Canis lupus familiaris: one gene and its partner. The protein of the gene in region 1 interacts with the protein of each later gene in a pairwise test. Links are inferred from orthologs where the notes say so. Each region holds a gene or a part of one and is shown on either strand. Other genes may lie near its edges.

Region 1 (3,500 bases):
GTCCCAGACAGGGAGCATGTGTCTGCAACCTCTGACCTAGGCGCTTACCCTTCGTCCCCATTATGGACTGCCCTGTCTGTGTGGGGAGCCGGGCAGAAGGGCAGGGGCCTGTGGGGTCATCTGCAGCGGCCAAAGAGGCCTGCCTGCGGCCGAGCCAGCTTTCTTCCCGCCTGTCTCTTCTTTCTCCTGCCGCGTCATCTGAAGTAGCCTGGGTTTTCATCCCACTGTTGTATGTTTCAGTTTGTAGGTGTATTTGATTTGATTTTTTTAAAATTACGTTTAAGTTCTTTTTATTTCGTGCTCTAGGTTTTAAGGTTTTTCTAATTTCTTAATTTTTTTGTTGTTTTTTGTTTTGTTTTTTGTTTTTATGTGCTGTATTTTCAGTGTTTTAACCAAACAGTTGTGGCTACTCATGGTGAGGAATGACCGCTAAGAGTTTGGGTTCTTTGCATTTGGAGGTCACTGCCACACGTTGGTGTTTAGGAGGTTGAGAGGTTTGCTGCTAGGTAAGTGGTGGCCAGGGGAGTGTCCCATGGGTAGGTGGCGGCCTGTAGGGTCAGGGAGAGCCAGGTACTGGGGGAGGCCTGGCCACGCTGCACGGTTCCTTTCGGTGACTTCCAGGGTCAAGGAGGCCCACTGCAAACCCACAGACCTGAGCTTGCCGGGCACGGACCAGCCGGGGACCGTGGCCCTGAGGAAGGTGTTCCGGGAAACATGTGGCTCTGAAAGGCATGCACTCCTGTACCTGGCCTCCCCCAGCCCCCACCAGACTTCCCCGTGCCTCTGGACTCCTGGGGCCATGTCTCCTTGAGTGCTGGCCCGGGCTGGGTGGCAGCAGAGGGCCCTTACCTGTGGGACGCCCAGAAGCCTCTGCCGTGTGGGGCAGACAGACTGCTGGGGCAGCTCCATCACAGAGGCTCTCAGGAAAGGATTTTTCCTTCTCTAATTGGCCTTAAGCTGTAGAACCCAAATAGAAAATGCTTGTACCGGGGTGCTTCTAGGGAGAGAGAGGCACAGGCTGTTGCACGGGGCATAGCGCCTTGGCACATCAATGGTCTGGGCCATCCTGGGGCCTGCAGGGTAGTGGTCCGCCTCCACCCACTGGACACCAGGAGCACCCACCTGTCCCTAGGCATGATAGCCACAGATGTTCCCAGACATCACCAAGCATCCCCTGAGGACATGGTGGGCCTGGGTGAGAGCCCCTGCCTAGAGGAGGATGTGGAATAGTGAGAGTCCTGGCAGAGAGGTGTCAGGAGCCTGTTAGATGAAACCAGACATCTCTGTCCCAGGCCCTGGCCTGACACCACACGATCAGGAAAAGGCAGGTCTCAGGGATGCCCAACCAGCTCTGCCTCCTGGGCACCTGGCGGCAGCCATGGGAGCCTGGTCACCCTCCCTAGGTGAAAGGGGTGTAGGTCGGTCCCAGTGTGCATCCAGCTTTACGGACAGGCCCCCTGCCATCAGCTCCTCCCCTGCGAGAAAGCACTCCCAGAAGCTCCCCTTCTGCAGAAACACGTGGCCCAGTGCTGTCGGCCACAGCCATGGCCACGGCCACTGGGGCATGCGAGCCGTAGCCGCTTGGGAAGCCGCGCCCCTTCTCCACCCCCTAGAGGGTAGCAAGGTCTGAGGGGGGTGCTGCCCACTGAGGACGGCATTGGGGTGAGTCAGGGTCATCAGTGTTAGTAGACAAGTGGGCCAATTCCCAGATACTGTCGGATGGTTTCATGAGGAGGGACTGTGGATGAGGGTGGCTTCGTTTCCCGTGCGGTACTCACGTACAGTGTGTTCTCTCCAGGGAGATTCTGGTTTTTGTTTTTTTTGTTTGTAAAAAATTTTTATTTATTTTATTTTAAGTAATTTGCACACCCAGCGTGGGGCTCGAACTTACTACCCCGAGATCAAGAGTCACATGCTCCACCGATGGAGCCAACCAGGCGCCCCTCCAGGGAGATTCTTAAGGTCAACAGTTGATTGCAGTTTTCAATGAGCTGGTCTCTCTTGGAATGTTTTAAGGGTGACCCATTGTCTGGAAGTGGGGTTATAGGTTGATTGCATTTACATAGATACGTAGACCTTGAGTTCCAGTTGAGCCGAGGGGACCTGGTGTCTCTGGGAGGTGGGTGCCCCTTTCCAGCCCCTTCTCATCCTAGTGCAGGGAACCCGAGACAGGAGTGGCTGGGCTGCCGCCCCGACAGCTTGATCAGAGAGCGTGCTCGGCCTCCTCCCTGGTCCCCATCTAGAGTTCCCTGCCCTGCCCTGGGCTGCAACTTGTTTTTGACCACCCCCTGGCTGCAAAGGGTTGCTTGCCATGTTCATGTAGCTTCATGTCCATCACACGCGGCATCAGTGGGCTGTCCTGGGGAGTGCCAGCTAAAAGGCCCCATCCAAGCCATTTAGATAAGGTGGCAGCGGCTGGGTGAACCAAGGGACTAGGCCAGAGGACTTGGCGGACAGGAGGGCAGGGGGCCTCCTGTGCCCTCAGCCTTTGACCCCGGCCAGAGAGGCCAAGCCAGGGGGCCTCTAGAAGGTGGCCTGGGACCCCGCTGACCCTGCAGGCTGTGCCCGCCTCACCGGGAGCCTGGGGACATGCTGACCCACATGGCGAGCTTCTCCCTTCCCTGTTTGGCCCTAGTGTCCACAGGACGAGATGTCCGAGTCCGGCCAGTCCTCGGCGGCTGCCACACCCAGCACCACCGGCACCAAGTCCAACACACCCACGTCCTCCGTGCCCTCGGCTGCCGTCACACCGCTCAACGAGAGCCTGCAGCCCCTGGGGGACTATGGTGCCGGCACGAAGGGCAGCAAGCGGGCCCGGGAGAAGCGCAACAGCCGCAACATGGAGGTCCAGGTCACGCAGGAGATGCGGAACGTCAGCATAGGTGCTGCGGCGGCTGGCGGCCGTGCCTCCCAGGGCTGGACACTCCCAGCACCCCCTCCCCCGTCCAGGCCCCCTGCTGTCCCCTCTCCCACACCCCTGCTGTCCCCCATCCCCGCCCTCTCCTTCCCGCTGGCCCGCCCCCCCCCTCTGGCCCACTCCTTGCTGTCCATGCCCCTCCCCGCTGTCCCCCCCTCACTGTCCCACCCCTTGCCATCCCCTGACCCCCCCCATCAAGCTGTCGAGGGAGGTTTCCCTTCCAGCTACCAGTGTTAGTTCTGCTAGATGTATCAGTGAGCTCAGGCTGCCGTGACATAACACATATCACAGGCCCGGCACTTCAGACCTGAGATATGCTTTCTCACAGCCCTGCAGGCCAGAAGGGAGCAGTAGGGCGTCAGGGCTAGGGCCCCCAGAGGCCTCACTCCAGACTGCCGCCTCTCCCTGTGTCCTCACCGGCTCGTCCCTCTGCATGTGTGTCCTCATCCGTTCCTCTAACAAGGACACAGTCAGATGGGGTCAGGGCCCACCCATGTGGCTGTATTTTATCCACACCTCTGTAAAAGCCTCATCTCCAAACATGGTCACATGCTGGGGTCCCAGGGGCTGCGGCTTCAGCATG
Region 2 (4,091 bases), on another chromosome or scaffold:
GGGGCATGATCCCAGAGTCCCAGGATCGAGTCCCACATAATAAAGCCTAAACGGAGTGGCAGCAGTGGGGATGGAGAGGGATGGACTACAGCAGTAGGAAGGATTTAAGATCTTGGCTGCTCATTAGAAGAGGACATTAAGCATCTCAGGTCCTCCCTGGGCGAGTGGAGGGAACAATCACTGCACCCAGAGTTGCAGGCCTCACTCAGCCCACTCCTCTCGTCTCTAGAGCATGTTGGTTACAAATGTGTGCCCAGCCCCTAGGTGCCTGTTGAGGAGTAGGTGACATCCAAGCAGCAGTGTGGCCAAATCATTAAGGGAAAGGTGGTTTGATTCACTGCTTCTCCCTCCCCCTTTTTTAGCTGACTCTTTGCATTTATATGAAAGTAAAGTAGGGGATCCTTGGGTGGCTCAGTGGTTTAGCGTCTAACTTCAGCCCAGGGTGTAATCCTGGAGTCCTGGGATCAAGTCCCACATCGGTGGAGCCTGCTTCTCCCTCTGCCTGTGTCTCTGCCTCTCTCTCTGTCTCTTATGAATAAATAAATAAAATCTTAAAAAAAAAAAAACAGTAAAGTAATTGAGGGCACCTGCATGGCTCAGTCGTTAGGCATCTGCCTTCAGCTCAGGTCATGATCCCCGGTCCTGGGATCAAGCCCCCTATTGGGCTCCTTGCTTGGCAGGGAGCCTGCTTCTCCCTCACCCTCTGCTGCTCCCCCTGCTTGTGCTCTCTGTCAAATAAGTAATAATAATTAAAAAAAAAAAAAAAGTAATTGGATCTCCCTGTGAAAATCGAGGAGCATTTACTCCCCCACTGGCTGTGTAATTCTAGGGTTAAACCGGCTGTTGGTGCTGGGTTGATCTATCTGAAGAGCTGAGCAGTTCAAAAGCAGATGGGGGGGTGGTGGTGGAGGGACGCCTCCTGGTCACTAGTGCCCCAGGGCCCGGCTCTTGGGATGTCTGCAGGCTCCAGGTGGTGGGGGTGGGGGGTCCTCCCGAGCCGGTGGCAGGCAGAGAAAGCTGAGCATTGCCCCCTGAATCAGCATGCGTCCTCCTGCTGGCTGCTGAGTCAGGCCTGCAGAGCTGGCGGTGCAGCAGGCTGAGGCCCAGGAGCGCGCTCTGACCTGGAAGTACTGCCCTTCAGGCGGGGGCTGGAGGTCGTGGCACGGCTGCCGCGGGGGAGGGGGTGCGTGCGGCCGCGGGGATGGCATCTCCCTGCCCAGCCTGGCGGTGCAGTTCCGAGCGAGGCCTGCAAAGTCCCGCTGAGCTCGGATTCTTGAGGACCCTGGGGCGAGGGCGTAACGGGGCGGGGAAGGTCAGGGTCGCGATCAAAGACTAGGTGTCCCCGGAGAAGGCCCGGGGCCTGCTGCGTGGCCTCGCCCCTCGGCCGCGCCGTGGACAGGCTGCTCACAGCCCTCCTGGCGGCTTCCAGGGAGACGGCGACGCGCGCCGGAGACGCGCGGGGCCGGGGCTCGGCGCGCCGAGAGGCGGGCGAGCAGGCGCGCGGGGCCGGCGCGGGGTCCCAGGCGGCCGCGCCCCGCCCCAGCGCCCCCTCCCGCACGCCCGCGAGCCTCCTCTCCGCGCCGGGCCTCAGTTTCCCGGCCGCGCCCCGCCGCGCCCCGCCCCCCGGCGGCGGGCGGTGACGTCACGGCCGCGCGGGGCATTGTGGGGCGGGAGCCCCGAGCCGGGGGAGGGACGCCGAGACGCCATTTTCGGCGGCGGGCGCGGCGGAGCCGGAGCAGAGCAGGAGCCGACGGGCGCGGGGCGGCGGCTGCAGGGAGGAGCCGCGGGGGACAGCGCTCGCGGGCGGCCGAGGATGCTGCGGGGCGGCCGCGCCGGCGCCCCTCGCTCGTGACCGCGGCGCCGCGCCTGAGGCATCGAGGCAGCGGGCCCCGCGCAGCCCGGCTCCGCGCACGCGCCCGCGCCCGCGCCCTCCCGGTGCTGACAGCGAGCGCGCGGCCCCGCGGGAGCAGCACGGTGAGCGGCCGGCCGTCCCCCGCCGCGGCACCCCAACGGGCACTTGTGGCGCCCCCTCGTCGGGCCCTTGGCGCCGCGCCCCCGCCCCGCATCCCCGGCGGCGCCCCGCGGTCGGTCCCCTCCGCGCGTCCCCGGGCTGCGCTGCGCTGCGGGGGGGGGGGGGCGGCTCGCGGAACAGCTGCGGACCCCGAGCGGCGGGGGGGGGGGCGCTCCCGGGAACGCGGCGGGGGGGCGGCCGGCCGGGCTTTGTCCGAATCCTCCCTCTTCCTTCCGGCCCCTGCCCTCTCCCGCGGCACCGCCCTGGGCGGCCGCGCCTGTCGTGCTCGGGGGCGGCGGCTGCCGGGGCCCCCCGGGAGGCCGGCCCCGCGGCGCCTGCTCGGCCGCCCCTGCCCCTGGACCGCGGGACGCGAGCCCGCTCATCCTCCGCGTCCACCTGCGCTGGCGTCGCTCCTGCTCCCAAACTTGAAGCCGCCCCGACGCGGTTGTCAAATGCGGTGCCCTCTCGACCCCCCAAGACCTTTAAACGCCTTGAAACTGTAGTAGTAGTGCCTGGCGGATTGGGTGGTTTTACAGCGTAAGGTGTGCAGATCCAGGTGGTGGGTTGTTTTTTTTTTTTTTTAATTATTATTTTTTGTGCTAGAATTGTTGCTTATTGTTTCATTATTTAAACAACACATTAACAATTTACGGTAGGCGTTTCATAAGGAGTCCTTGCAAAAAAACGTTTCTAAAGTGTGAGGACAGGGACACCTGGGGGGGGGCTCAGTGGTTGAGCATCTGCTTTCAGCTCGGGGCGTGACCCCGGGATCCTGGGATTGGCACCGCGTCGGGCTCCCTGCGTGGAGCCTGCTTCTCCCTCTGCCTGTGTCTCAGCCCCTCTCTCTCTCTCTGTGTGTCTCATGAATTAAAAAAAAAAAAAAAGTGAGGACAACAGAAAATTTGAGGTTCGCTATTTAAACTGGTATATTGAAGGGCGGTTCTTTGATTCTTTGCGTTAGTTAAATTTTAAGGCTTTTTTAGATACAGCATGACTAAGCTATTGATCAGAGTCGTTAAGCTCAAAATACATGGAAGTAGTTGAGTCAAAAACCCATTAGGAAATTGGGACGATGTTCTTAAGTCTCATCATCTTGTTACCTGTTCTGGATTGGCCTCTTTTAGGGATTGGCAACAGGCCTTAGCGAAGGTGGGAAATTTGATTCATTGTTCTGTTTCCTAAGCATCTGTAGGAATACAAATGATACTAAATATTAAAAACTTCAGATAGTGGGGGAACTGCATGTGGGAAGCTCGGCACTCCTAAGAGCCAGTTTCCCCAAGTCATCAGAGAATGCAACATCATGTTGCAGTGGAGTCTGGCAGCCCTGTGGTGTTACTGAGGGGGGTGGAGGACCCAGGGTGGTAACTTGTCTGTGACCTGGCTCGTGCACTTTGCTTCGTACTACCTTCTAAAAACACTAGACGATGCAAATAAAGGTAGAAAGACCTGCATGGGAGTCAGGACACTACTGCTAGGAAGGATGAGAGAAAATACCACTGGGGAGGAGCACATAGTATCTTAAGTATTTATTTTTTTTCTCTTAAGTACTTTAAAATGAAAACTTAACTGTAGTTACTTAAATTATATATTTAAAAATGATGAATTCTCATTCATTCATTCATGCATGCATGAGAGACACAGAGAAGCAGAGACATAGGCAGAGGGGGAAGCAGGCTCCCCCCAGGACCCTGGGATCACACCCTGAGCCAGAGATGCTCAACCGCTGAGCCACCCAGGTGCCCCGCACCCCTGCCAAATTATATATCGTTAAGCATATTTCGTAATGTTGAAGATAAGCCAGTGTGTAGCTTTCCATATGGGAATATAAACACCAAAGATTGGTTAATTTGTAGGATTCATGTAACATGGAAACATAAGTGGAATATGATAAGAAACCAGAACTTTATGTAACAAAGAAGTGATCAGTAATATCCTAAACTGAAGTACAGGCAGGTTTTACATGTCAAATTTCAGGGCATAGAATAAAAATGATTAGCATATTAAATGGTGAAAGCATGACCTTAAATGTCTATCTAGAACCAACTGAATGACAGGTGCTGTGCTAAGTTGTTGGGAA

What was found.
Region 2: the proteins of MAPK8IP3 (region 1) and KLC1 interact in binary tests that used the Homo sapiens proteins (3 or more experiments, as listed by UniProt). The link is inferred for Canis lupus familiaris from reciprocal best matches to the Homo sapiens genes MAPK8IP3 and KLC1.

The regions. Positions count from the first base shown.
Region 1 is NC_049227.1:39,595,261-39,598,760, reverse strand, and holds part of MAPK8IP3 (C-Jun-amino-terminal kinase-interacting protein 3), read left to right. Parts: intron 1-378; exon of another isoform or gene 379-506; intron 507-532; exon of another isoform or gene 533-1,923; coding exon of another isoform or gene 1,924-1,962; intron 1,963-2,635; coding exon 2,636-2,882; intron 2,883-3,500.
Region 2 is NC_049229.1:71,780,242-71,784,332, forward strand, and holds the start of KLC1 (kinesin light chain 1), read left to right. Parts: upstream 1-1,291; 5' UTR 1,292-1,312; intron 1,313-1,646; coding exon of another isoform or gene 1,647-2,394; intron 2,395-4,091. Other genes in the region: basic proline-rich protein-like, read right to left, coding at 1,122-1,282, 1,647-2,394. UniProt on the Homo sapiens protein: Kinesin is a microtubule-associated force-producing protein that may play a role in organelle transport. The light chain may function in coupling of cargo to the heavy chain or in the modulation of its ATPase activity.